Lonchura striata: one gene and its partners. The protein of the gene in region 2 purifies or fractionates together with the protein of the main gene of each other region. This does not show direct contact. Links are inferred from orthologs where the notes say so. Each region holds a gene or a part of one and is shown on either strand. Other genes may lie near its edges. The genes, in order: IER5, PPP2R2D, PPME1 and CDCA4.

Region 1 (5,297 bases), on a different chromosome or scaffold from region 2:
GCCTGGATCTCCCTGGGGTTTTGGCTGTCCTGAAGTTCTGTTTTTGCTCCAGGCAGCTGTTGGTGCCAAGGCTTTTGCCTCAGCACCGCTGGTGGTGAGGGGCTTTTGATGGATTTGTTCACATCCTCCTCTCAGGATGGGTCTAATTCATGAATCCTGGTGCGAATAGAAGAGAGAGGCATCGATGCACGGCAGCAGCACTGGGACAGCCGCTGGTGGATGACTTCAGCGTGTGCTTCGAGGACACCCTAATTTCACTGTCCATCCCAGCTGGAGGGTTTTCCACCTCTTTCCTGCATCCGGCTTCCCCCTGGGGCCTGGGCCGCACATTTGGTGACAGCGAGGAGCTGGCGGGGGGCTGAGGAAGGGGTCAGGCGCCGCTGTCGGAACAGGATCTCGCTAACCACATCCTCATTCCGCGGGGGGCCGTGCTGGGAGCCAGATGGCCGGGCCGGGCCGGGATGGGAAGGGCCGGGACGGAGCTCAGCCAGGCTCGGGGACCGGCAGAGCCGCGATGCTGCCGGAGCTGGGGCTCCCCCAGCATCCCCCGCCGCTCCCGGCCAAGATGCGACCGCACGAATCCCCAGCGAGCATCCCGGCGCCGACCTCCTCTGCTCGGAATTGAAACGCTTCCAAAAAAGCCGGGGGCGTGCGCGCAGCCCTCTGCAATTATTAGTCGTACCACAAGCTGCTTCCTCCCTCCCTCGAGCCGCTTTTATGTCGCATTGTTTTCCTTTCCAGGTGGCCCACCGGGGCTGCCTCCTCGCCACCGCGCCGGCCGCAGCTCTGCTGGCGGAGAGGCCACCTTTGTCTGCCAGCCAGCCCGGCCCTTCCTCCCCCTTCCTCCTCCTCCTCCTGCTCCCGTGCCAGAGCTATTTCGGGAAACAGCAGCTGAGCCGGAGGATTGTTAATTGTTCGTCAAACCCCTTCCAACCCCGCCGGATCACATGCGGAGATTAGAGCGGCCGGTCACACCCTTTCCCTCCGCCTCCTTCTCCTGGATCCCCCCCTGACCCGCAGGGCTGGGGGCGATGTCCCTTCCGCGGGGCGGGCGGAGGGATGGACCGGGGGGTGCATCCAGCTGTGCCCAGCTGTGGGAAGCGCGGCGATGCCGAGCCGCGGCTAGCAGCGGATCGCCGTGCTCGGAGGGCAGCCCCGGGCGCGGGCAGGAGCCTCGGGGCAGCCACAAGGAAGGCAGACAAAGCCACCCCAGGCGCTGACCTCAGAAGCCGCCATGTGACTCGGCCTCAAAGTTACTAAAGCATGACATCAGCCGGGGAGGGAGCGGCAGAGCTGCCACCAAAATATGCCTGCCTTCAACCGGCTGCTCGTCCTCGCCCGTGGATCCCCCCCACTCCCGAGGATAATTGCCATTCATGGTAGTTCCTGCTGGAAAACAAATGGAAAAGATCGCTTTGACACGCAAAAAGCCAGCCTAGTCTTTGGGTCGTTCCCAGGGATAAGAATGTGTCTGTGAAGCAACCCACTTTAGATAATGATATACGTATTGATATAGTGTGTGTGTGCACCTTTGCTTTGGCAAATGTCCTGGACCGTGATTCTGAGATGAGATGTTGTTGTGGAAAAGGAAAAACCATCATCCCACCTCTGCAAAGGGCACGGAGAGCAGGCAGATGTCGAGGCAGAGCTTTGGTGCCCTAGGAATACCGTGCTGATGGTTGTGCCTGACACCAGACGTGGTGTTGGTGGGTGAAACTCGTGGTGCTGGGTGCCAGCTCTCCTGCACCTCTGCCCCTCCCTGCTGGTGCTCTGTCTGAGCACTGAGAGGGACGAGGGATCACTCAGTCCCCATCCCCATCCTGCTAATCCCTGGCCAGAGCCGGGAGGGGCTGCTGGCCCGCCTGCTCCCAGGCAGGGTAGCGGCCAAAAGGCAGTGCCTGCAGAGAAGTGGTGCCTCATGCCATGGGGGTGAGGTGGTGAGCAGCAGAACAGGTCAGTCTGCTCCGATCCAGGCATCTTCACCCCGCAGAGCTCCCACGCTCTGCCTCCTCCACCCGCCTTGGGCTTTTCCCAGCTGGTGTGATGACTTTGCACTGCTGCTTTTAGTCCCCGAGTTGGGATATGCCTAGCTGAGAGATGCATCAAATCTGACTTTCTGACCCTTTGCTGAAGATGCAAGTGCCCAGATCTGGCAAACAGTAGTCCCAGAGCTGGCCTTGCATCTCCCAGGCACACAGCCAGCCCTGTGCCACCAAGGGGACACTGGTGGCGGGTGAAGAGCCGTGACTGCACTCGCAGGCATGCAAGCCCAGAGCTGCCCTGGCTGGTTAGGCTGACCCGAGGGCTCAGGACAGGGTGTTGCTGGCCCTGCGAGGGGCGGGGAGCAGGTTTGGCAGGTCGGGAAAGCCTCGGTTCCCACCGCTGGAGCTCGCGTCCCTCCGGCCTCCCACGCCGGGTGTGGAGGGGACAGCCCCGCTCCCTGCGGCCAGGACAGGCTCTCCCTGCTGTGGGCTAAGCTGGGACCTTGTGTCTGTGGGACTTTTTGTCTGTGGGGGAAGCCAGGCTTGGCTGTTTTGGCCGTGTGGCTGAGAGTGCCCCGCTCGGGTCACTTCAGATGGAGCACGGCAGGTTTGGTGGAGAAGGGCTGGGCATTTTGAGATGTCAACATCCAGGCTGAGATGCTATTGTGTCTGACACCCAGAGAGTGACATTTTGAGGTTTACCATCTGTGTTTGACCAGGAGGAAAACATACATTTGTCCTGAGCACGGTTTTTTTTTTTTGAAGAAGGCTCTTGCTATGTCAACTATGCATTGGTGTGGCCTCATCTTCACTTTTTTTTTTTTTTGTTACCTCTGTGACCCGCCACCCTTTTTTCCTTCTAGAAGGCCAGGACATGGCGACAGGTTGTGCCAACAAAACATCATGATAGCCTGTGGCTTTCCCTTGGGGGAGTTTGTGGATTCATCCCCTGGGGAAAAAAGGGATGGAAGCAAGTTGTTATATGTCATCTGGGAATGGAAACTGATACTCTGGGGCAGCATGTTGAACTTCCTTAATTTTAGGCCCTTTCACTTCTTTTCTGTTTGCAAGTGGTGGTTAGTCCTTGGTGGAAGGAGGAAGGTCTGCACACCAAGCTCTGAAACACCCTCCAAGCTTTCTTGGATGCCTCCCTGGTGCCTGCAGCTGTGTCTGGGGGCTGCATGTGTTGTCTCCTCTGTCCCTCAGCCACCTGGATGATCCTGCCACCAGCTTTCACAGTAAGATTCCAGCTCCCAAACAAGATGCTCCAGTTTGCCGTGGTCCCCATCACACTTGGAGATGCTCTATTTGCCCTCCCCTACAGCCTTTCCCAGCCCTGTTGTGGATCTTCTCTCTGCCCTGGGCTTTCTGGGAGCTTCACTGCCAGGCCCCTGGAGCAGAATTCTGCCTGGCAGCTGGGCAAGCACGGCTTTGTTCCACATCAGGGCAGATTTTCCCTGAAATCCTCACAGACACATTTCACCCTCCAGCCATCACCACCACCAGCTCCTTCTCTAGCGCAGTAAGATCCCAGACAAGGGGCTGAAATTGCGGGAAACGTCCCCAACCTGACAAAACGGAGGCTGCGCTGGGTTGGATTTGTTTTGTTCGGTTTGTTGTCTGTTGTTTTTCCCTCCCCAGGGAAACGTTTCCATCGCTTTGGCCGAAATTCCCCGCGCCGCCCGCGTGGGGTTCCGCGGTGGGCCCCACCCGCGCGGCGCGCTGGCGTTGCCGCTTTAAGAGCCCTCTCCGCGGGGCGAGCTTTCGAACGCGCTGCCCTGCGCCGCCATTGGCCGGAGCGCGCGCGCGGGGGCCAGCCGGCGGTTGGAGCGGCCGGCGGCGCTCCCTGATTGGCCGAGGCGGGGGCGGTATAAAAGGCGGGCGGGCGCGTGGGCTCGCTCAGTCTGCGGCGCGAAGGGGCGGCGTGCGGAGCTGGGGTGAGGCACGGGTCGCCGCTCGGCTCGGGGTTTTAACTGTTTTTTTTTAAATCACCCCCCCCTTCGCCCACCTGCTTTCCCCATGGAGTTCAAGCTGGAGGCGCATCGCATCGTCAGCATCTCTCTAGGCAAGATCTACAGCGCGCGGGGCCAGCGCGGCGGCCTGAAGCTGCACAAGAACCTCCTGGTGTCGCTGGTGCTGCGCAGCGCCCGACAGGTCTACCTGAGCGAGCCGGGCTGCCCGCCCGAGCCGCCCCCCGCGCCCGCCGGCCACCCCGAGGAGGAGCCGCCGCCCCGCACCGCCGCCTGGGCGGCCGAGGAGCCGCCGCCGCCCCCGCAGGACGAGGCGGGCAGGGACTGCCAGGGCCCCCGGCCGCGGCGCTGTTGCTGCGGCGAGAACCGCGGGGGCTGCGCCGGGGCCCCCCCGCCGCCGCACTGCCCCCGCAAGCGGAGCGCCGGCGAGCGCGGCCAGGCGGGCTCCCCGGTGAAGAAGCCCCGCCGCGAGGAGGAGGAGCCGCCGCCGCTGCCACCGCCGCCCTCGCCGCCGTGCGAGCAGGAGGACATGGAGACGGGCAACGTGGCCAGCCTCATCAGCATCTTCGGCTCCAGCTTCTCGGGACTGCTCAGCAAGGAGCCCAAGGGCCGGCGGCGACCGCCTCTGGACGGCGGCGAAGCGGCGGCGGGCACGGCGCCCGCCGAGGCGGCGGCCGAGCCGGGACAGATCTGCTGCGACGAGCCGGTGCTGCGGACCCTCAACCCCTGGAGCACGGCCATCGTGGCCTTCTGATGGCCCGGCCGCAGAGACTGGCTCCCCGCCGCGGGCCGCGGGGCCCGGAGGTGACACCCACCGAGCGCCGCGGGGCTCCGGCGCCGGCCAGACCCGGCGCCCTGCGCCGCCGCACGGGAGGGACCGCGGGGCAGCGGCGGCAGCGCTTCCCCGTTCCCCGCCGGGTCCCGGCTGCCGGCACCCGCCCTGGGAGCGCCCCCGGCCCTGCCCTCCCGGAATTCCCCTTCCCGGCAGAGCCGCCGCCGCCCTCCCCGGCGCCCGGGGGAGGCTCCTCGGCTGCCGCCGACCCCGGGGGCGCCCCCGGCGGGTGATATTTTAAGCTTGGAAAGTATTAAGTTTATTAAATAAAGTCTCTATTTTGGAAAGGTTTAGGTCAGAACTATTACATGGTGCTTTTTAAAAGTGTTTATTGAGAGGAACGAAGTTTACAGACGCTCTGACGGAAAGTCCTTGAGCCTGTTTGTTAGGCTTGGTAACTCCCGGTCTTTGTTGTATAAAGGCTTGGGGCTCCCGTAGGGAATTTTGTACAGTGTTCTCCTTCAGTGATGTATCATGTTTTGTATAAAATGTAATTTCTACGTGTACAACACG
Region 2 (7,679 bases):
GGAAAACGCTGTGCTGCTCCTTCCTGGAAGAGCTCCCCTCTCCAGGGCCAGGGCTGGGCTGGTGCCAGGGCAGAGGGACACTGAGCCACGGGAGCTGTGCACGGGACAGGCTGGCGACAGCCAGGAAGGTGATGGCACGGGGACAGCAGGGAGGGAAAAGCCGGACCACGAGGCTTAGGACATTTGCCTGGAGGTGACAAAGGGGCTTTCCTGAGGGGCTTGGATGGAAGGAAAAGTCTGCTTTGGAGCAGGAAAAGTCAGCATGCCATGCATACCTCATACAAGACCAGGATTTCAGGGACAGAGGGGTCTGTGCTCAGCTGCGGGAGCAGGGACCTGGGCAGGAACCACCAGAGGTGAACAAGGACTCTTCATACACCATAGGTGTAAAAAACACAGCAAAATTACTGAACACAGGGCTCATAAGGAAACCCACCAGCTGCCAAACCACAGGCTTGCTCCGAAGTTTGGAACACTGACAAAAATTCCATGGGAAAAAGATCTGTTGCGCTTCTCACCTAAGAATAATCAGGTGTTGTGCTGTCAATTAGCACGTGAGGTGCGTGTGGTTTCTATCTGTTAACAAAATGTGACTCCCTGTGCCCACCAGCTGTACTTCCCTTCAGGATAAACGCTCTTTCCATGGATTGCCCCGTGTTTTTGGGAATTACCCTTGCAGCACCGTCTCTTTTCAGAGCAGAGGCAGTGAGAGCGCCCTGGCAGGCTCAGGGCTGTTGGCCCTCTGCAGAGGGTGGAAAATGAGGGACGGGGCAGCAGCACACGGGGCACGGAGGGCAGCTGGCCCCGCAGGATCCTATTTCCAGAGCACACGTGGAAACTTTGTTCTCGGGAGCTTTCCTTGCTCGGCGTGGCCAGGCAGAACGTCAGCTCCTTGTGCGTGCACCCCAGTACACGGCAGGGACCCAGCGACTGGGAACAGCCGCTCTGTCACCCTGTGCCCGAGTTCTGGAATTCTGCAAGAGCACACACCCAGCCCCGTGCCCGGCCTGTGCAACACCTCTGCCCACACCCCCCGGGCTGAGCAGGGAAAGCTTTCCCAACCCCCTGTCCCCAGCCTGGGCAGCAGGAAAGGGGAATTGTGCCCCGTGCCCAGGTGAGCCCCACCTGCAGAGCTGGCTCAGAGGGACCTGGAGCTGCTGCAGAGGATCCAGAGGAGGCACCCAATGATCAGAGGATGGAGCAGCTCTGCTGGCAGAGCTGCACTGGAACCTGCAGGGGAGAAGGGTGGGGTGACCTCGGGGTGGCCTCACGGGGCTGGAGGAGCCAGCAAGAAACTGGAGAGAGATGATTTACAAGGGCCTGGAGTGCCAGGGCATGGGAGAAGGACTCTGCCAAAGAGCAGGGTTTAAAGGCATTCTTTGCCCTTCAGGATGACTTTCCTACAGCCAAGAGACTAAGTAAAAAAATATTTTATTTAAACACTTGATACACAACACACTACATAAGGAATAAACACAAATCAAGTAATGAGTCTATAAATGGGTACAGATGTCATAGCAAGAAATTAAATAAGGAAAACCTGAGTCAAACGCATTTCTGTATCTAAATTACCAAGAAAAGGCTGCAAGCCCAGAGGAGTAATGTCTCTGAGAGGAACCATCCTGAACTCAGGCAAGTGCTAGACTTTAGCCCTTCCACAGGAAAATCCTCAAGAACCTCCAGGTAAAATTCCATTCAGTAAGATAAAGACTTCCAGCAGAGAGAATTACTTGTTCCTAACAAGACTCTTACTCTGTAAGGGGATGTTCTTCACTCACCTGGGCTCAAGATCACAATTAACCAAGTCTGTTCATCAACCAATTTCCTTGCATTTCCTACAACCAACAGGACTTAGGAAACCACCTCAGACTGAGACACAACAGTGCAGACCTGTCGCCTTTCCAAGCACTTAGCCCTTCCCTAGGAGCAGCTGGGCTTTAAAGTTCTTTAAATTGTACCATTTTCCAAAGGACTGCGAGACCAGGAATGTATTAATAGACGGGGTTTGGGGCAAACACAGAATTCATTTTCATTTCTTTCTGCTCTTTTGGATTTAGGGGCAGAAATTGCATCTCCACAAATTCCAGTATCCGTGCTTGGAAAAGGAGCAGTCAGGAGAGGCCCGAACTCAACGGGGCAGCAGGAATATTGAGTTTGTGAGGCAGGAGATGCAGGGAAGGGGCAGCTCCGCAGCCGTGGTCGGACACCTGCAGCCCTGGAGCTCCAGGAGCGCAGATCCGGAGGGATCCCGGCCGCGTTCCCTCCTCCCAGCCCTGCCCGCGGCCAAACCCGGCCAGCACAGCCCCAGGGCCGGGGCTTGGGGCTGGATCCCAAATCACCACGGGCAGCTCCGGAGCCGGGCCGGGCCCTCCTGCCCGGGGCGAGGAACGGTGTGGGGGGACACGAGCCGGATGAAGAAAAGCTGTGACTGAGAGCTGGGCTGAGGAAAGGCTGTCCCTGAGGCATGAGAGCAGAGCTGGGCTTAGGAAAGGCTGTCCCTGAGAGCCGGGCTGAGGAAAGGCTGTGACTGAGAACTGGGCATAGGAAAGGCTGTGACTGAGACATGAGAGCAGAGCCGGGCTTAGGAAAGGCTGTGACTGAGACATGAGAGCAGAGCCGGGCTTAGGAAAGGCTGTGACTGAGAGCTGGGCTTAGGAAAGGCTGTGACTGAGACATGAGAGCAGAGCTGGGCTTAGGAAAGGCTGTGCCTGAGACACAGAGCCGGGTTTAGGAAAGGCTGTGACTGACAGCCGGGCTGAGGAAAGGCTGTGACTGAGAACTGGGCTTAGGAAAGGCTGTGACTGAGACATGAGAGCAGAGCTGGGCTTAGGAAAGGCTGTGCCTGAGACACAGAGCCGGGTTTAGGAAAGGCTGTGACTGAGACACAGAGCTGGGTTTAGGAAAGGCTGTCACTGAGAGCCGGGTTTAGGAAAGGCTGTGACTGAGAGCCGGGCTGAGGAAAGGCTGTGACTGAGAACTGGGCTTAGGAAAGGCTGTGACTGAGACATGAGAGCAGAGCTGGGCTTAGGAAAGGCTGTGCCTGAGACACAGAGCCGGGTTTAGGAAAGGCTGTGACTGACAGCCGGGCTGAGGAAAGGCTGTGCCTGAGACACAGAGCTGGGTTTAGGAAAGGCTGTCACTGAGAGCCGGGTTTAGGAAAGGCTGTGACTGAGAGCCGGGCTGAGGAAAGGCTGTGACTGAGACACCAGAGCCGGGTTTAGGAAAGGCTGTGACTGAGACACAGAGCCGGGTTTAGGAAAGGCTGTGACTGAGAGCCGGGCTGAGGAAAGGCTGTGACTGAGACACAGAGCCGGGTTTAGGAAAGGCTGTGACTGAGACACAGAGCCGGGCTTAGGAAAGGCTGTCTCTGAGGGCTGCTGAGGCCTCGGCAGGCGCTGCCCAGGAGGGTGGCAGTGCCCGTCCCTGGAGGTGTCACCCGGAGGTGGCACTCGGAGCTCTGGGCTGGGGACAGGGTGGGGATGGGCACAGGGTGGACTCGGTGATCCTGAGGGCTTTTCCAGCCCCAGCGACTCTGGAATTCTGTGATAAACCTGTCCCTGAGGCCCTGCTCCCTCCCTCCCCTCACCCGGCTCTGGCGCAAAGGAGTCAGAGGCACGTTTGGGTTTTTGCTCTTTTGGTTAGTTTGGTTTTCCCCTCATCACAATTAACCCTTGGGGGAGCGAGCAGAACCAAACCGGGACGCACAGCGAGGTCTCTGCTGTGACGCTCCCGTCCCTTCACGGAAAGCCGCGTGTGGAGCGGCTGGGGAGCGCCGGCACGGCTCCGAGCCGCGCTCCTTCCTCCTCCTCCTCCTCCTCCTCATGCTGAGCCCCCCGTGCTGCCTGGGAGCGCCGGCACGGCTCCGAGCCGCGCTCCTTCCTCCTCCTCCTCCTCCTCCTCATGCTTATCCTCCGGTGCCCTGCGCGTCCCGCGGAGCCGGGGCCGGGACCGTGCCGTGCCGGTACCGTGCCATACCGTGCCGTGCCGTGCTGTGCCATGGCATACCGTGCCTGTACCATGCCATGCCGTGTCGTACCGGTACCGTGCCGTGCCGTGCCGTGCCGGTACCGTGCCATGCCGGTACCATGACGTACCGTGCCGTGCGGTACCATGCCGTACTGCACCGTACCATGCCGTGCCGTGCCGTACCGGTACCGTGCCGTGCCGTGCCGGTACCATGCCGTGCCATGCCGTGCCGGTATCATGCCGTACCGCACCGTACCATGCTGTACCATGCCGTACCATGCCGTGCCGTGCCGTACCGGTGCCATGCCGTGCCGTGCCGTACCATGCCGTACCATGCCATGCCGTACCGGTACGTGCCATGCCGTACCGGTACCGTGCCATGCCGTGCCATGCCGTGCCGTGCCGTGGCGTGCCATTGCACGCCGTGCCGTGCCGTGCCGTGCCATGCCGTGCCGTACCGGTACCGTGCCATGCCGTGGCGTGCCATTGCACGCCGTGCCGTGCTGTACCATGCCATGCCGTACCATGCCATGCCGTACCGGTACCATGCCGTGCCGTACCGGTACCGTGCCGTGCCGGTACCATGCCGTGCCATTGCACGCCGTGCCGTGCCGTGCCGTGCCGTGCCGTGCCATTGCACGCCGTGCCGCCCCGCTCGCCGCCCGGCCCGCCCTCCCCGAGGGGAGCCGGCGGTGACGTCACGGCCGGGCCGCCCGGCAATGGGCGCCATTTTGAAACCGCGAACCCTCCCGCGGCTCCGGGCGGCTCCGTCCCGCTCCCGGCCCCGCTCCCGGCCCCGCTCCCGCGGCTCCCCCCGCCATGGCAGGTCTGTGTCCGCGCCCCAGCTCCGCGCCGGGACGGGCCGGGACGGGCCGGGGCTGGGCGCCGCGGGGCCGCGGGGCCGGGCGCAGGCCGGGCCGCGCCGGGCGGCAGCGGCGGGGATGCGGGAGCGCGGCGGGCCGGGCCGGGCCGGGCGCGGGGCGCTCCTCTCCCTCCCTCCCCGCTCGCTCACCGCCCTTTCTCCTCCGCAGTAGTGGCGAGAGCTGGAGGCGACGGCGGCGGCAGCAGCAGCGAGGTGCAGTGGTGCTTCTTGCAGGTGAAGGGGGCGATCGACGAGGACGTGGCGGAAGGTGAGGGGAGCCCGGCTGCGCGCTCGGGCGGCCGCGGGCAGCGCCGCAGCATCCCCGGCCGTGCCGGGCTGTGCCATGACTAAGCGAGCTCCCACCCCTGGAGCATCACGGAGCAGCCACGGCGCCTTCCTCCGGGTCTCCGGTGCAATCCCTGAATCCCTGGGTAGCTGGGCCTGCGGCGCCTCTGGGATCCCCCGGCCCGGGCTCACCGGGAGCCGGGCACACCGGAACGGGTCCCGCAGGGCTCGGAACGGCTCTGCAGAGGGAGACCCCGGCCCCTCCCGGGCAGCTGCTCCAGGGCCCTGCCCCTCCATGCACACGAGTTCTTTTCTTCCTCTCGCTGGGCTGAACTCGCTGTGCCTCAGCTCTGCCCGTGCTCCTTGTCCTGGCCCTGGCACCGGCCCTGCCAGCCCTCGGGGAGATTTGCAGGGCTCGGCGGGGTCCCCCCTCAGCCTTCCCTGCTGCAGCCTGAGCAGCCCAGCTGCCAGAGCCTCTCCTCAGCTCAGAGATGCTCCAGTCCCAGAAGGACTCTGTGGCCTCTCTCTCCAGTGGCTCCTTGGCTTTCTGGTCCTGAGGAGCCCAGAACTGGGCACACTTCTGGGCTTAGGATAACTGTCTACAGTTCTGGGCTCAGGATAAAAGGTAACAACAGTGATACGATACAGGGAGAGGAAAAAAAGAAACACCAGTGGAGTCTGTCAGGCTTGTCAAGTTTCGCTCTGACGCACAGAGAGTGCAGCTCTGTCATTTGTGCTGCATTGAAAAGTGCAGTTTAAAGGGTTCCTGCAGCTGTGGAGAGATTTGATTCCCACTTGTTAACGTTAGGGAGCTATAAATAGGGATATTAAGCAGGGAAAAAGGGCACACCTTCACATTTCTCTGAAACTTTCCAGGCGCTTCATGTTTTGGACAGAGTAGAAAATAAGAAATGTTTTAACTGGGAAAAGTGTTTGCTGTAGTGTGCAGAGTCTGGGTGGAGTTTTGCTTGACTCTGATGAGAAAGTTCTTTTTCTGCCCCTAAATTTCATGTGTTCTAACTGTCCAGGTTGGCAGTGCTTCTTTCGAAAGTGTGAATTAACTTGCAGGGCCTGTGTGCTCAGCTTGGGTTTGGGATTTTATTTTTATTACTGGATGCAGTAAATATTTTTCCTTGCTGCCTGCTACGGGAAATTACGCTGACAGTGTTTTCATTTTCATGCCACTTGTTTGGCATTCCATTTAAAATAATGGCCATTGGAGGGATAGACTGGAAACTGCTCGAGAAACTACACTCACTCAGTTGTTTTCTTCCTTTTTCTTCCCTCTGTATGTTTTGTAGCTTGCTCTGAAGTTCCCAGAAATGTTGTAGAAATGTACAGAAGTAGCTTGTATGTTTTTTAAGTGGTTCTTTTTTCTCAGGTCTGTCACCTGTGTGACTAAAAGCCAGTTCTCCATGAGTAAAGGATATAGTTCTGGGGACTTTTGGCTCCTGGGGGCACTTTGCTTCCCAGATAACTCCTGAGCAGCCTGGATTTACACAGAGCAGGAGAGCTCCAGGAATCGTTCAGCACCTGGTTTTGCAAAACTAACACTAAAGTTTTGTTTTCCCGTGGGAATACCAGAACTATTTACAGGCTTTGTGACTTCTTGGTTTTTTGTTTTGATTTGTGGCCTTTCCCCTCCTCTTACATTTTGCCTTGAAATTGAATATAAAAAATATGCTACTTATTTTCTAATAACTGCCCAAATTTAATTTCCTAGTAAGAGTACAAATACATGGCTAGGTTTTGGGCCTCAGTTAGGGACATATTTACTCACTGCCATCTTTTAAATCCTCTCTTACCAAACTGCACATCTAAACCTGCTTGATGGACAACTGTTGCCTTGAAATAGCCTTCAAATTACACATAAATTTTTGTGACAGTGCAAACTTGCTACTGCTGTCAATTTTTGGTCTGTTTTGTGAAAAATTAGCTCTCTAGAGGAGGAGGACACCATGAAGTTGCTGTCCAGCCTATTCCATGCAGAGTGTTTTGCCAGATTTTCTTAGGGGTTTATTCAGGAGTTGAAACTGCTCAGCCAGGCGACTTTACCAGAAAATCCGTTCTTTTACAGTGCAGTTCTATTGCACATTTTATATTCCATAGTTGTTTCTCAGGTGTCTGGCTTCATCACAAACACTGGGACAACTGTATCAGATTGGCAGCTGGATTTTCCTAAGTGGGTCATTAATACAGAAAATCACTGTCTCCTCTTTGTCTTGTCCGTGCCTTGCCTTTCCTCGGTGACTAATCCCTGACCTCTGTCCAGGCTCTGTGTCAGGAAAGAGAAGGGCACTGTTCAGTCTGACCGTTTCTGAAAGACCAGGAGAATCCATCACTTCTTGACTATGGATTTTGTAAAGGGTTGGGTAGGACTTTTCTAGAACGGAATAGTTTAGTTGGATTCGGGGGAGAGGACTGAAGGATAAAACAGATTATAAAATAGAGATTGGGTGAAAGACTTAATATTAGGGATGGCAACAATCACAATTTGAAAACAAAGCTAATTAAAGATTGTGTTGTAATTCTGTTGTTAGTGTTAACCACATGACTCCAAAACTTG
Region 3 (7,985 bases), on a different chromosome or scaffold from region 2:
TAACTCTGAGCCACTAGCCAAAAACAAAAGGCAAAAAACAAGACAGGAAATGCAGAAGCTGCTACAGCTGTTGGGATCTGCTGCCGTGGGGCCTCTTGCTCCACCAGTGACTTTACAAATTCTATTATTTTATTTCCCCACAGAACACAGAATCAGGCCATAAGCCTGGTTTTGTTTTATTTTGTGATTTTGATTTTGATTTTCATCAGTTGAGCAATTGGAAAGAATCACTTGCAACACGCAGGCAATTCCCAACACAGCCTTGGTGCTCCTTAAAGAAATGGACATGGAATTCCTCCCAGTGGCTGAGTTTCACCAACTGCTTGAGCTGAAGAGAAGCTCCAGCTTCCTTTGGGAAGGGCCTTTGCAACCATCATTTCTGCTGGAGAGCACTTAAATCCAGGGAGAAGAGGATTGTGCTAGCAAAGCAGGAATCAATGCCACGTGCTGTGAAATAGAATGAAATTCTAGCACACATCCCATGCTCCCGCAAAACCCACTCCAGACTACATTGCAGGAGCCATGTTTGGTATCAGGGAGAATTCCTTCCTGAAAAGGGCTGTCCAACCCTAGCACAGCTGCACAGATCCCCATCCCTGCAGGGACAGAAAGCTGTGTGGATAGGGCACTTGGGGATGTTGGGATAGTGGTGGCCTCGGCAGTGCTGGGGGAATGGCTGGACTCCAAGATCTTAGAGGGCTTTTCCAACCTGAGCAATTCCATGATTCTATTTGCTTCGGACAGTTTGACTTCTCAAATGAGACTCTCCCACAGAGAGACATAAGGAAGTGATTGTACTGAAAAATGAGCAAGAAAATAATAATTTTAAAAGAAAAAGTTAGAAATAAGTTTATTTTCACATACTTAAAGGTGCCATTTTTTATGAACTACTGAAACACACATTAACCTTTTAACAGCATATTGCCAAAAAATGTAAGACTTTATTTTGGTTAAGAAGTTCTCAGTAAATTCTATTTTTCTGCAGCAATCTCACATGCTTGGCCCTCTGCTTCTCAAGATCTGCTTTCAGCTACACCACAGTCACATTAAGATGACCTGCATGGTGGAAAAAAAGGGAATTAAAAGAAAGTGCCCAGCACACCAGTCAGAGGATTTAGCCACAGAAAAATCAAGTTGCTGGCATTCTTGGATATTAAGGTTAAACGCATTTTTTTAAAAGCCTGGCTTGCAATTCAAGAAATTGAAAGTGCAGGAATAAATTACATTTATAAATGTGAGATGCTTAATAAAGCAAATAAATATTTTCCTAAGTTTAGTTCTTTTTGTTCCCTGTAACCTTTGAATTTTGATGAACTATTTCAGTGCAGCCCTGTATATCTGCCAGCACTGTAAATCACACTATTTTCCCTGTACAACTAATTCCGTTCTCTTTTAGTGGAATTCTCTTCAGGGGGAATCTTGCACCTGTTTATACTGAACTGAACTTTGATAAGGATAAGCTCAGCTTAAGTTAAACTTTCTATCCCACTTCCTCTTGTGTCCTTTTCACAGAAGCCCCAAGCCCCTCTGGATGAGGTAATTCCATGTTGGATGTGCAGCACCTCCCACAACAGGAACATGACCTGTAAAGGGATTTACTGGGTGGTAGAGCAGTAAATCTAACCACAACATGATTATGAACTACTCCCCACTGCTTCCAAGGGAAGAATTCCAGGGGAATTCTTGATCCTTAACCGCAACACTGGATTTTGTTTCATTCATAATAATTTCCCAGAGAGAGTTTAAAACCCCTCCAATTCATGGTAAGAGAGGAAGAATTATATAAATTAACACTTGTTACAGCCTTAGACACTGGTCAAACTTCTCCCACAGCTCCTAAAATGTACTCTCAAACCCTGCTTAAAAGATTAAAGAGTATTCCAGACTTTTCCATCATCTCAAAATGCAGATTTAAGCAGGGATTAACGTCACTTGGCAGAGCACACCTACTTCACATAGGTGCCCGGAGCTGAGAAATTCTGTTTCACAGAATCATGGAATATTCTGACTCGGAAAGGGACCCACCACAAGCATTATCAAAGTCCAACTCCAGCTTAGGAATTCAGCTCCTGAGAATTTCCACACACCTCTCCCCGCAGTCACACTCTGAGGTACCACCCAGACATGGTGCTTGACCCTTCCTCCAAACACTGATGGCAAAAGGACTAGGAGAAAAGGGCTGGAGAGTTGATCCCAGCCCCTGCCACCTTCCCCCAGCCTAAGGATACTTTGGGCACTGATACCTTTGCAGCTGGAGAAGCCTGATCCAGGTGTCACTCTCCTGGAGCACTGGGAAGCAGGACCAACCCTCCCTCCAGACCCCTAAGAATGACCCCCCCTCGCTCCAGATCCCCCAGTAGTGACCATTCCCCGTCCCGATTCCCCAGGACGAGCTCTTCTCTGTGTATGTCTCGTGATAATGGCCATTCCCTGTGCCGATCCCCCAGGACGAGCTCCCCACTGGCCGGATCTCCTGGTAATCGACATTCCTTTGCCGATCTTCCAGGATGAGCTTCCCCCTGTCCAGACCCCCCGATAATTCCCTGTGCCCAATTCCTCAGGACGAACTCCCCTCCTCCCAGATCTCCAGATAATGGCCATTCCCTGTCCCGATCGCCCAGGACGAGCTCCCCTCTTCCCAAATCCTCCGATAGTGATTCCCCTCCGTCCAGACCCCGGAATAACGTACCTCCCTTCCTTGTAGATCCCCCCAGCAAAGACCACCCGTCCCTCCAGACCCCCAACACGAGCCCCACCTCCCTGCAGAGCCTCCGCTCCGCGGTAACCTCTCCCCCCAGACTCCCCCCCGATCTCGGCATCCGCCCCTGCCCTTCCTCCGCCTACCCCATGCGCATCTTCGACCCGGAATGGCCGCCGCCTCCGGGCAACGGGGGCCGAGGTGGGAGGCGGCCCAGATGCAGCTGCTTCTCCAGGGCAGACATGACAGCTAGGGACGCACCGGGAACACCGGGACCCCCGCGCCGCCCCCTCCGCCCCGCCTCGCCTCGCCGGAAGCGGCTCCCCCAACAGCGCCGCCACGCGGCACTAAGCGCACCCGCCCGCGTGGCACCGCGGGAAACGTAGTCCGCGCCCCCGCTCTGCCCGGCGGGGCGCGGGGCAGGACGGGAGCTGTAGTCCCCCGCCGCGGCGGCCGTTGCCGGGCGGGAGGCGCGGGCGGGATGCGGCGGAGGGGAGGTGCGGAGAGGGACAGAGCGGCGGAGCGGGGCTTGGGGGGATACAGCGGGGAGAGAAGCGTGCAGCTGTGGGACGGGAAGCGGCACGGAGGCTCGGGACGATGTACGGACCGCTGATGTCGCCTGTCCCCGCAGGTGCCGGCGAGCCCGCCGCCGCCATCAGCCTGCCGCCGCTGGTGCAGGGCCCGGCGCGCTGCTTCCTGCGCTGCAGCGTGCCCCGCGTGTTCTGGGCGGCCCCGCAGCCGCCCGCCGTGGTGCGCCTACGGTGGTGGGGGGAGACGTCCGGCGGCACCGTACTGCAGCCCGCCTGCCGGGCCGGGCAGCCCGCGGGGAGAACCAGCGCCCGCTTCACCGTGCGCTGCGGACCCCGGCAGCTCGCCGCCTACCTGGCAGGTAGGGACGCTACGCTTCGGGACCGCGTTAGGTTGGGGTAGGACGAGAGGACGCAGCGTTAAGGTGTGCCGGGGCAGGTTGGGGTCGGCCGTCGAGAGAAGTTTCTTCACGGGCAGGGTGGGTAGGCTGCCCAGGGGGTTACCCTCGAACAGCGGTAAGCATTTCCCTGTGTCCTGTTCCTTTCCTGGTAATCCTGTACTCGTTCATCATCATTTAGTACCAGTAATAATGTCTGTATTGACGCTTCTTCACCTGCTGCCCTGTTATCGTAATTTCCTTGTAGGACATAATGTTAATCTCTGGCGTTGCTGTCATTTTAGCCAAAAAGTGTCAGTTGTGACCATGAGACTGACTTGAAGATGTTCCTGATTTTTGCAGATATGGGCGTTCTGGTCCTGGAGGTTCTAACCAAACTTGACCACCTTCTCCTTGGCAGAGCACAGATCACTAAGCTGTCCCAGCTCTCTCCCAGCCATCCCATCAAAGGGTCTTTTCCTGTGGTGTCACCAACATCGGGTAAACTCGGAGAGCTGCAGGTAGTCTTGATGTCTTTGCTCATTATCATAAATTATGTGCTGTGACACTGGTATAATCAGGTGCAGGGTCAAGCTGTATATGGCACACTGCAGCTTTGCTCTCTGTCAAGGGCATTTCTGAGCTTAGGTAACAAATAAAAAAAAACAAATACTGCTGATATTGACTTTATTTTGTTCCAAGGGATGTGGGGTAGTTGAGCTTAGTGAGGAGCATGTGGTCATCTCTGTCACCAAGAGTGAGTGTTAACAGTGGATTTTAAATGGATATTTGGTTCTTACACTTCACTGGGCTGATAATAGAAGATTTGACATCTGGAATTAAGAAAATTCTGTCTTGCAGCCCTGGCTCTGGAAAATTGATTATGAAAGGCAGTTGACTGGGTCTGAAAACATGGAACAAGAAAGAAGTAGTTGTAAATATGTGACATAGCTGCGTAATGTAAATATTACTTTATGTAGAAAAGCAGCAGTTTTCCATTGCACAACAAGTGAAGTTTAATGCAGTGTTTACTGCACTTAAGTTAGGAAGAGAACAAAGTAATATTTTCACATTCTTGTCTTCCAGGTCTCACTGATTCTAGAACCTCTGCCAGAGCTGTATGATACTAGCAGCTGTGTGCTGACCACACAAGGAGGTTCAGTTGCTGCTGCTGCCCAGGGAAGCAGCAAGTCCCAGCTTCCTGCTCCATCCCAGCAGCCCAGGCACACACAGGTGACTGTTGAACAGGACTGGGTTGACAACAGCAAAGCCACATCTCCTAGGTATCCGTTTGTTTTTTTTGTTTTTCTCATGACAAAACTGTGGTTTATTTTGCAGTTCACACAGGATTTTTAGGTATGGCAGTACACTTGTGAGTTATGGGATGCTTGATGTTTTCAAACATACATCTTATATTAAATCCAGGATGTGGAGATTTCCAAGGTGACAGGGACAATTTCTTGTCTGATAAGAAATTTGCTTCTTAGGTTGACTTAGTTCAAGTCATGCAAGTTCACAAAAGAGGTGCCTCAAATCATCAAATCACAAAATAATTTGGGTGGAAGGGATCTTAAGGCTCATCTCATTTCAGCCCTGCTGCCAGAACACTTTCCACTATCCCAGGCTGCTCCAAGCCCCATCCAGCCTGGCCTTGGACATGGATGAAGCAGGCACGGCCTCTCTCGGTAACCTGTGCCAGAGTCTCACCGTGCTCCAGCAAATCACTTTCTCCTGATATCTAATCTAAACTTACCCTCTGGCAGTGAGAATCTGTTCCCCCTTGTCCTGTCACAAGATGCTCTTGTAAAAAAGATCTTTTTTTTAAAAAAAATCTTCTACTTGCAGCTTGGGTTGGTCTCTCTGATGGTCTCAGTGGCAGGTGAGGAATCATTAAAATAACATGTCATGTTTCCTGTTGGAGCATGTCCTGAAGGGAGAATTTGCAGAGCTCTGAATCCCTTTACCCACCTTCCTGAGTTGTCACTGTTTTTCCCTAGAGGAAGGGACGGTTTGCTCTACCAAAAGAATTCTGAAAACATGAAGAACACCTTTTCTGCTTCTTGTCACGGTGTGATTTTACCAGATGAACACTTGAAAATGAATCCTGCGAGTCAGCCCCTGTCGTTTCCCAGCAGCACTGATCCTGAAGCGCTTCCCAGGAGGAGCACACGGGTGCTCTCCATGCACAACGCCGCTACAAAAGACCTGCTGTCAGGTTTGTGTGCAGCTGGCTTCACATTTTAGATTTCACTGCAAACAGCTCTTGATGCTCTTTTGTCTGCCTGTATGGAGATGAGGTTTTCTGAAGGGAAAGACAGACTTCACACCCTCTTGCTGCATTATACCAAAAAGGCCTTGTCTTAAAACTTGCTGTTGCCTGGGCTGGACTGAAATAAGCTTTGGAGTAGGGCATGTTTCCATATGTGCTGTCTTTTGAGTTCCATATTCGCAGAAAAGAACAAAAATTAGACATCTTGAAGTGGCAAACTTCTCTTCCCTAAATTAGTACTGCTTCTGTATCCTAATAATGCCTTTCCAATACCTGACCCTGTGTGTGCAGAGAAATTCCCTGTGCAGTGGAGTGGGAGACTGATGGAGGATCATTCTCCCTCGCTCCCAGCTGAGCTGTTTTCTGGTGTATAAAACATATTTAATCCCCAGTGAGTCAAGATCTTTTTTTAACAGCAGAAAACAAGTTTCTTGACCGTAGCTGACACATTGATTATGTCTACACATTGCTCTTAAAATACATTTGAATGCTGAAATGTAATCCTTCTGCTTGTTTCCCAGCTCTCTTGGATCAAGGCAGTAAACTCCGTGATGCCATGGTTGTTTCTGCAATGAAGTCCAGCCTAGACATGGAGATTGAACTGAATAAAATATCTGATTTTATAGAGAGAGATGATTTTAAAGCACCAACAAAGTGAGTTTGGATTGAGGGAAGTGAGATGCAAGCTCCAAACCATAAATTTTGAGGCTTTATCCAGAAAACTGTAGATACTGAGATTCATAGGATGTGTTTTAGGATTCATTTGAGGTGAAAAAAGCACATCATTCAAATAGGAAGTTAATTTCTACCTGTGAATAAATGCGCGAATTTTGTGAATTTATTTTAATCTTCATGTAGTAAGCTTTGATTTAAGTATTTGATTTTAATTTAATTTTTTAGTATATTTGTATTTAGTTCTAAGTTATTTGTCAAGGAAATATTACATGTTGGTAGGGAATAAGAGTAAGACTTGAAAGACAGTGCAAGTGAAATGGCACTGCATCACAAGGAGCAGTTTTTCAGAGAAGTGTAAGTAATTCATAACCTAAATGCATTTTTTTTTTCCTTAGGGGAAAAGAAACTTAGATTTCTTGATTTTCTTCTGGAAAAATGTGAATATTACCTGTTGTTCTGTGATAACCAGAAAGCGATGTCATTGTCTTTGGTAGTCAGTGATGCTATTGCAAACTCAATTTAATTTCTTTCTGCACAAGCTATTTGCATTTGTGTTAAAGTGGATTATTTTGGACTTCACAGAAGACACTGATAGACCGATTAATGGATTAATCTTGAGTATGCCTTAATGTCTTTATTTGTCCTTTTTCTGCTGTCTCTGCTTCCATTGCTGTTACCCAGGAGCCCAACAGGCTTGAAGTCCAGTTTTGTGCACACTCCTGAAGATTTCCATCACTTTGGATCTGAAGTTTCAGGTCAGCAACTCGACCTAAACTCTGAAGAAGGAGCAATCCAGTTACTTTTGGGCAGGTGAGTGTGATGCACTGGAGGCTTCTGCAAAATTGTCCTAATCTGACCATTTTGAAAAATGTCTCCTGACCCTTCAAGTTGTCCACATTTTTGGGAATGTAACCAGTCACTCCTGTGCAATTGATGCAGGTGCTTTATAGCTCAGCTTTAATGCATGATGTCCTGGATAGCTCCAAGCCACTTGGTGTGAAAGTGACAGAAAGATTGTCAGAAGGATTAACCACAATCTTTCATAAAACTAAGTTACTTAATAGTTGTAAGTGTTGTGGCTTAAAATATTACATAAAGTAAGCACATAAAACAAGTGCCATGTTTCCTGGAAGAGGACATACTCTGTAAATTAAAACTACAGCTATTTAAAATCTTTCTCCAGATATTAAATGCACCTTTTCCTCTAATTTTGTGTAGCGGGAGCATAAATGATGCTTCCATTGTGTCCACATCTGCACCCTGAACACACAGCTTCTGGGTCAGATATGGTTCAGAATTTATGGTTCATGTTCTTGTGCCCTGCACTTACCTTTTCACTGTGGTTTATCAGTGGATAACACTGTAGTGTTTCAGATCATAAAATTATTTTAAACTCACAGCACAGAGGAAACCCTTAAACCAAACTACCCCCAGCTTGT
Region 4 (7,158 bases), on a different chromosome or scaffold from region 2:
TAAACTGCTTTAACAATAAAGGCTGAGTTTTTAAAACCCATTTAAAGCATAATAAGATTTGATATCTCAAATACAACTTCACATCACATGCAACAATTCCCTTAACTACTGCAACAAAAAAGAGTGCTGTTCCAACAGGCTAGAAAAACTTTTATAATAAACAATGGAAACAATTCAGATACTTTTCTAGACATGTCTGTGCAGTACAAGACAGTTCTGTGTCTGCAACTGAAGTGCATACCTGGAAAAGAAACAAATAAAGAGGATGCACATGGAGATCTGTTCTGATTTTCTGTTTTGTGTAGTAATAAACAATTTTTCAAAATTGCTTCTCTCAAATGGAGGGGGAAGAAAATGGATGACAAAGGACTTGAGGGTGAGAGTGCAGAAAACATGTCTTTACTCAAGAAGCTGCATACTTGTTAAAATGCCACAATGGGAAAAAAAAAAACCACCTTTAACATTCTCAAGCCAAGAACTTTTGATCGCAGATATTCAAACTAAATGATGTTATGTCATGGAAACTGTATTTCAAACAATTCAAAGTCTCTTTTTTTTTATAGACTGAGCTCACAGCAACTTTAGAAACAGTGTCTTAAGGCATCTGAACTACAACTTCAGTCAGACACCATATCAAGTCAATAAACTATTTCTTATTTCTGGCAAACACTTTATGACACAATAAAAGTTCAGAAGTTTTTGCTCCCCAGGTACACTTTGAACATATTCTACAAATGAAAAGTGATCTCTTTGAGAGCCTGTGTCTGGTAACTATTTGAATCCCAAAATTTCTACTTTATTGGAGGGTAGGTGACAAGGGCATAAAAAAATCCAACATCAAACACCTCCCCCACCTCCCTTCCAAGAACTACAGGTAAAGATGGTGCAGTCATGAGAAAAACAAACTGAAATATTTTCTGATGCTATTTGGTATATCTGACAATTTCAGAGGGAGAGGCTGTGGCTGTTTGCCTCCCAAAATAGGGGACAATACAGGAGGGGACTATTGCTGTTGGTAAAAGAGCCATTATCACATCCACAAACTAAATGACAGGGGATGCTGGCAGAGCAGTTCAGTCTGTAATCTATTTATGTACTACAGAAGGAGAGTTTTCCCATGCAATATAATAATGTTTAAAACCTGCTGCATGTGATTCCATGTTCTTCCCTGGTCTATAACCAAACCACATGGACTTCTGTTAGTATAAATTTGAAGAATAGGTCCATCACAGCAGTCATTTCTCTGGGCTCTATAAACTGGCATAAATGTGTACCTCAACAACCAAGTTCTCAGTAAAAGCATATTAACTTCATAGCTATTACCAGATGCAATTAAAACTTTGCAAACAAATGACCTCCCACAAACTTCCCTACATTATCTCCAATAAGCACTCATCTCAAGAGAATTCTAAATTTGAAACTTAATTAAAATCTAAGTATCTTTTCCTATTGATTTATCTATTAACATACTCAGAAAGGCATTAGCCATTGTGTAAAACCTTTTGGTACATCAGAGGAAGACTGCTGCTGCTTCAGAGTTCAAAGTGTTCAAAATCCCCTGATAATTTGAAGCAGCACCTTTCTCTGTCCAAGAAGCAGCATCCAGACGAGCTGCATCATCTCCTTTCTTCTGCTTCCCCAGTATCATGAGCCCAAACTTTGTGTATTCAACTAAGCTGCTGTTTGAAACAGCTACGCAGAAAAACTGTTGTCAAGGAGATCACAGCTAGCTGCAGCATAGTGCACTAAGGGAAAAGGAGTTTTGTGGGTTTTGTTGTTTCACTTTTTAAAAAATAAATAATAGCATAGAATTATGTAATTCATTACAAGTTTTGCTTTTAGGATCAACAAATTCCCAGTCTGCTTTATAAAAAAGGTGCTTGAAATTTGATTCAGTTCTTATTAGAGCATCAACTTAAGACATTCCATTTTCACACGCAATTCGGACTCATATAGTGATATGCTGCCAAAGAGATAGCTAAGTACTTTAGGGAAAAAAAGCTGCTTCCCACTAACTGGGTTAACAAAGACAGGGAATTTCAGCAGTGCTTATCTTTAGGGGAAAGCAGACAAGAAGTACCCAGGCCATGCTGGAGGCTCAGTGAAGCACAGTGCTGCTTTTTGTACAGCCGTAAGTACAGTGATGATGGTTAGCACGGGAAGGCAAGAAGGAACCGTATCGCCCCTCTACCACTCTAATCCTCTCCACTCCAACACTGGCTTTTCTAAGAACCGTGGGAAGAAACCAAAGCTCTGTGTAACAGTGGAGAAAAAGACGGAAAGGGAGCTGCTACTCCTCTTTAGCCATGCACGTGTGCCCGTATGGTGTGTCGAGGTATAAGGTGGGATGCAGACACAGCAGAGGGACGGAGAGGCCAGAAGCATCGCTATTCAGACTGGAACAAAGGCCCCTGTAAAGCACTGGGGTCTGCCCACCCCCGGGGCGTAGGGGGCTGGCAGGCACCTCTCTGGCACTCGAGAGACTGGGGAAGGGGTTCCAGCACCCGGGGAAGAGCAGGCTGAGCAGATGGGGCAGGAGCCCGTGGAAACGCAGGTGGGGGCCGGGGGCGCTAAGCAGGGGGAGCCCGCAGAGCCGGGGGGAGAGGCGGGACCGGGGCGGGGAGCGAGGGGGAGCTCCCCGCCAGTGGGAGGGCAGCGGAGCGCCCGGGAGAGGCGCGGACGATGAGGGAGCGGGGCTGCGGCAGCGACCGAGCGGAGAAGTGCGGAACGGGCCGCCCGTCCCGCCCGCGCCGGCCCCCTCAGCGCTGCCGGCGGTTACTCACCGCCCCGCGCTCTCGCCGCCATTTTGATTCGATCCCGTCCCTTCAGCGGGTTCCGCCGGCACCAGCTTCCCGCGGATCCGACCCAGCCCAGCCCGACCCAGCCCACCGTACTCACCGCCTTGCCAGTGCTGTCGCCGGCGCACACCCGAGCAGGAACTCCCGCTCGGCTCCCGCCTCACCGGCGGCTCCGCGCCCGAGGGACGGGCGGGGCCAGCCGGCCCCGCCTCCCCCCGCCCGCCATCTTATTGTCAAAGCCCACAAAGGGTCCCGCGGCCGCCGGGGGCGGGCCTTCCCCGGAGACCGCGCCCACCAGGGAGCGGCGGCGCCCGCTATTGGCTGCCGCCAGGCGTTGCAGGCGGCACTCGCCGCTGCGATTGGCTACAGCGCCCGTCCGTCCCGCCCCCGAGCTCCGCCCCCTAAGGCGGTGAGGTTGCCATGGCAGCCGGGCCCTTCCCCTCGGCCGTGAGAGGCTGAGGGCGGCGGGGGCGGGGGCGAGGCGGGGCCGCCCCGATTTCAAATCGTAGCCAAGGCCCCGCGGTGCGTCTGGGCTCCCGGCCACGGGCTCCGGCGGGAACAGGTTCAGACCTGGCCGCGCTGCAGCCCGCGGGGAGCCCTGGCGGGGGAGGGGAGAGGGAGCGTTGGCAGCCCCGGGCCGGGCGCTCCCCGCCGTCCCACTTCCCTCACGGCCCGGGAGCCCCGGAGCTGCGCCCCGCGGGGGTGACAGGAGGCCTCAGCACTCCATTAGCAAGGCCTGTGGCATTTCCTGTTCGGGCCCAGCCCCGGGTCTCGCAGTCGGAGCCAGGAACCCGCGTGCTGGGGCGGGGGTGATGTCTCACCCCGCAGGCAGCCGCTGTCTGAACATGAGTCAGTAGCGAGTGCCCGGGCGGGCGAGAACGCCAGTGGCATTCTGGCCTCTAAAGGAATAGTGTGGCCAGCAGGACCAGGGAAGTGCTGGGCACACCTGGAGTACTGTGCCCTGTTCTGGGCCCCTCAATTGGGGAGGACTATTAAGGTGGCTGGAGTGTGTCCAGAGAAGAGACCAGAGCTGGTGAAGGGTCTAGAGCACAAGTTTTAAGAGAAACAGCTGAGGCAGCTTATGGATGTTTAGCCTGGAGAAGGGGAGGCTCAGGGGAGACCTTATCACTCCAATTTTCTGACAGGAGGGTGCAGCCAGGTGGAGGTTGGGCTCTGCTCCCAGGGAACGAGTGACAGGGCTACGGAGAACATAGCCTTAGGCTGTGCTGTTGGGAGTTTAGCTGAACATAACAAAGAATTTCCTCACAGAAAAGGTGATTAGGCACTGTAATGGGCTGCCCAGGGAGGCGGTGTAGTCACCGTCCCTGGAGGTGCTGAAGGAAGACTGGACATGGCACTCAGTGCCATGTTATGCAGTGCTATGTTGGACTCGATCTCAGAAGTCTTTTCCAACCTAACTGGTTCTGTCCTAAAGCTGCTGCCACCCTGCTCAGCAAAACCCCCTCAACCAAACCTTGCCGCTGTGACCCCAGCCCGATGCAGCTGCACATCTGCAAGCACTTAGGCTGCCCCAGCGTGTCTCGGTGGCTCTCCCGGCCCAGCAGCTACGTGCCGGCTGCTCCGGAGCAGCCCGGGGGAAGGAGGGGCGGCTGGCCCGGGCTGCCGGAGCGCCGCAGAGGCGGCAGCTGCTGCCTCCCGGCCCTGGGGCGGGGAGGGGAAGGAGCTGGAGAAAGGGTGGGATAAGCAGCTGGAGCTGGAGGATGGGCGAGGCTTGCGGCTGAGGTTCTTGTAAGACAGGCTGGGAAACAGCAGAGCTGTAGTGTCATACAGTAAAGCAGGAGGAAATAACATACTACAGATACCCATGGTAAAAAAAGAGTAAATGCGACCCCCTTTAGTCTTGACCAATGAATAATTTCAGAGCTGCAATTTGCGTCCAGGTCACCAAGTTCTCTTTTTTTGCCGTCCAATTGGTTGGTGTTGTTGTTCTGACGCCAATCCAAAATTTGGGACATGTTGGGGGAAAACAGGCTCAACTGATCGATGGTGCAAGGGCCTCTGGGTAGGTGAGAGGGGATGCCTGCAAGAGCTGTATCTCCACAAATAAATACAGTTCCACTAGGTAGGGTGTGAGGTTTGGAGGTAAGGGTAAATGGTTCCATTCTGTGGCTGATTTTTTTACACCAATTTTTTTGCTATGTATTGACTTTTGATTTGTTTTATTTCTGTGCACCTGATTCTTGGGACATAGGTTCAATCAGAAAATGAACGCAATAAGGGGCTTTTGCTGGCTGAGCCAAGCAATTCAAATTCATGGGGTTCCTCCTTGGCTTGTGGTAATCTTTTGAGGAACTGTTCCCAGGGAACTAAGGGATTGTACATAGGGAGGAAAGAAGAAACTAAAGGAGGAAATTAATTTGACTTGAATGGGATCCCCACAAGGCAGGTGGACATTGGGTTGGCAGTGGAGTCAGTGGACAGACAGATGTTATCCTGCCCAAGGGTCTGTGCCAGAGTTTTCCAAACATTGGCTTGTGGCTGGGAACAATCCACAGGTGGCCATGGCACACGATGTAGAGCAGAGTGGTCAGTAATATCAGCATCCTTGCGGGGCTTGGGGTCATCAAGCCTGGACTGATCTGGTGTTAATTACACCCAGAATGATGTTGACCTCTTGTGTTTGGTGTCCCCAATGATGACATACTTACATCCAATCTTGCTCCAGGTACCTGAATCATCCAGGGACACTTGGATGAAGTGAAAATGTGAGTCCTGTAGATGTAGTAGTTCCACCAGCTGAAGCCTAAAAGGTACAAAGTAAGAGGTGGTCGTTAGAATAGGTATATTGTGAGAGAGGTCATATTTACTATTAGTCAAGTCAGGTGATTTTGAATTGCAGGTTAACAACTGTCCCTCAGTGGGTTTCTGCTTTAGTTCCGTCCCCAGTGTTACTTCTGGGCCCACCCTGTTTATGTCTTAGCGCAGGGAGGAACTGCATCCAATTCCCCAGTTCTCCACATAGATGGCAGGGTCTGCTCGCTGTAGGAGGTCTTTGGGAAGGTCTCAGCGTGTGGGGCGGTTGCTTTGTCGGTGGTTTGAAGGCTGGGGTGGTATCGTCTGCTGCAATCCAATGAGGATGTCTTTGCCCCTTGTCTTGTTCCTCTGCTTCAATGATAACGTTCTTTTCACACACTTCTAGCATGTCATGCAGGGCTGGCTCCATTGGCAGGCTCAGGATGACGGCCTTGCATTGAACATTTGCATTCAGTACTGCCATCTCCTTCAGGATCCCCTGATGGACCTCTTCTTCTTTCACCTGGAGCTCCACCGCCCTGCAGAGTCTCTCAACAAAATCTATGAAAGGCTCTAGAGGAGACTGAACAATTTTTAAATAATTTTAGACAGGCCCTTTTGGTTTTAAATTAAAGAACACCAGTCAGCTTTGGCTGACTCCCGGAGCACCCCCTAGGGATTTCAAGTGCCTGTCTGGCACCTTCCTCCCACTCTGCCTCCCCACACAGATAACATATGTCCCTCAGTGTCAGTTGCTGTGGCAGGGTTATTCCACAATGTGGGAAGGACATTCTCGACCTCCTTCCTCCAGGCTGCCTCCCACAAAATAAATTCAGTGGGCGACAACAGGCAGGAGAAGAGTGACCAGAGATCAGCAGGAGTGAGATCAGAGGAGAAGGTCGCCCTGAGAAGTCCCTGAAAGCATTCATTTTCCCTTGAGAACTCTCTCTGGGCCTTACACAACTCTTTGGTGGTCTGATATGGAAGCAGGGTCCACTGGGCCTGCACATCCCCCTCTCACTGGGGTATAAAAGCCACTGGTGCAGCAGACAGAACTGGCCATAAATCATGGGAACTTCCATTTCTGGGCTCCTCCCCTCTGGAATGAAAACCAGGGAACCTTAAGAGGGACTGTGGGAACTGGAAGAAGGAGGAGGATGGGAGGGGCCAGGAGAGGGGGTGAGGACACATGATTGAAGATCCCCCCTCAGGGGTGTGACCAGGGGCAGAACTTAAGGGAGTTGTGGGTGGAGTTTGAATAAAGGACAAAACAGGAAGAGGAGGGGTTTATGGGTAGGAAGGGGTTGGAAGAGGAGATGAAGGGATTTTGGGAAGAACAAGTGGTGGGAAAAACCTTGTGGCTCCTGCCACCTTGTCTCTTCAGGGAGACATCTTGGGAAGGGACAGGATTGGGAAGGTCAAACCAAACACAGGGCTTGCGGGACGGGGCTGTACATCCTAGGGAAAGAAGGGACTGAGAAATATCCTGAGAAGTCTGGCTGGGACTCAGGCAAAGATACCGGGAATTCTGAGGGGAGCCGGGGAGTCGGTAGCAGCCCTGTGCCAAATGGCGGGTTGCTCCCTTCAGAATCCCAGTTGCAGGGGC

The links.
Region 1: the proteins of PPP2R2D (region 2) and IER5 purify together in Homo sapiens (affinity purification with mass spectrometry; 3 studies listed by BioGRID and IntAct, counting the BioPlex papers as one, with this or other methods). This does not show direct contact. The link is inferred for Lonchura striata from reciprocal best matches to the Homo sapiens genes PPP2R2D and IER5.
Region 3: the proteins of PPP2R2D (region 2) and PPME1 purify together in Homo sapiens (affinity purification with mass spectrometry; 4 studies listed by BioGRID and IntAct, counting the BioPlex papers as one, with this or other methods). This does not show direct contact. The link is inferred for Lonchura striata from reciprocal best matches to the Homo sapiens genes PPP2R2D and PPME1.
Region 4: the proteins of PPP2R2D (region 2) and CDCA4 purify together in Homo sapiens (affinity purification with mass spectrometry; 3 studies listed by BioGRID and IntAct, counting the BioPlex papers as one, with this or other methods). This does not show direct contact. The link is inferred for Lonchura striata from reciprocal best matches to the Homo sapiens genes PPP2R2D and CDCA4.

Annotation. Positions count from the first base shown.
Region 1 is NC_134611.1:2,038,652-2,043,948, reverse strand, and holds IER5 (immediate early response gene 5 protein), read left to right. Parts: upstream 1-3,897; 5' UTR 3,898-4,001; coding exon 4,002-4,706; 3' UTR 4,707-4,795; downstream 4,796-5,297. UniProt on the Homo sapiens protein: Plays a role as a transcription factor. Mediates positive transcriptional regulation of several chaperone genes during the heat shock response in a HSF1-dependent manner. Mediates negative transcriptional regulation of CDC25B expression.
Region 2 is NC_134609.1:31,970,217-31,977,895, forward strand, and holds the start of PPP2R2D (serine/threonine-protein phosphatase 2A 55 kDa regulatory subunit B delta isoform), read left to right. Parts: upstream 1-4,656; 5' UTR 4,657-4,785; coding exon 4,786-4,792; intron 4,793-4,997; coding exon 4,998-5,096; intron 5,097-7,679. UniProt on the Homo sapiens protein: Substrate-recognition subunit of protein phosphatase 2A (PP2A) that plays a key role in cell cycle by controlling mitosis entry and exit. Involved in chromosome clustering during late mitosis by mediating dephosphorylation of MKI67.
Region 3 is NC_134604.1:19,315,994-19,323,978, forward strand, and holds the start of PPME1 (protein phosphatase methylesterase 1), read right to left. Parts: upstream 3,017-7,985; 5' UTR 2,943-3,016; coding exon 2,845-2,942; intron 1-2,844. Other genes in the region: C2CD3 (C2 domain-containing protein 3), read left to right, coding at 3,180-3,195, 3,330-3,587, 3,966-4,123, 4,689-4,885, 5,600-5,817, 6,393-6,525, 7,228-7,356. UniProt on the Homo sapiens protein: Demethylates proteins that have been reversibly carboxymethylated. Demethylates PPP2CB (in vitro) and PPP2CA. Binding to PPP2CA displaces the manganese ion and inactivates the enzyme.
Region 4 is NC_134608.1:8,337,733-8,344,890, reverse strand, and holds the start of CDCA4 (cell division cycle-associated protein 4), read right to left. Parts: upstream 3,015-7,158; 5' UTR 2,899-3,014; intron 2,555-2,898; exon of another isoform or gene 2,474-2,554; intron 1-2,473. UniProt on the Homo sapiens protein: May participate in the regulation of cell proliferation through the E2F/RB pathway. May be involved in molecular regulation of hematopoietic stem cells and progenitor cell lineage commitment and differentiation.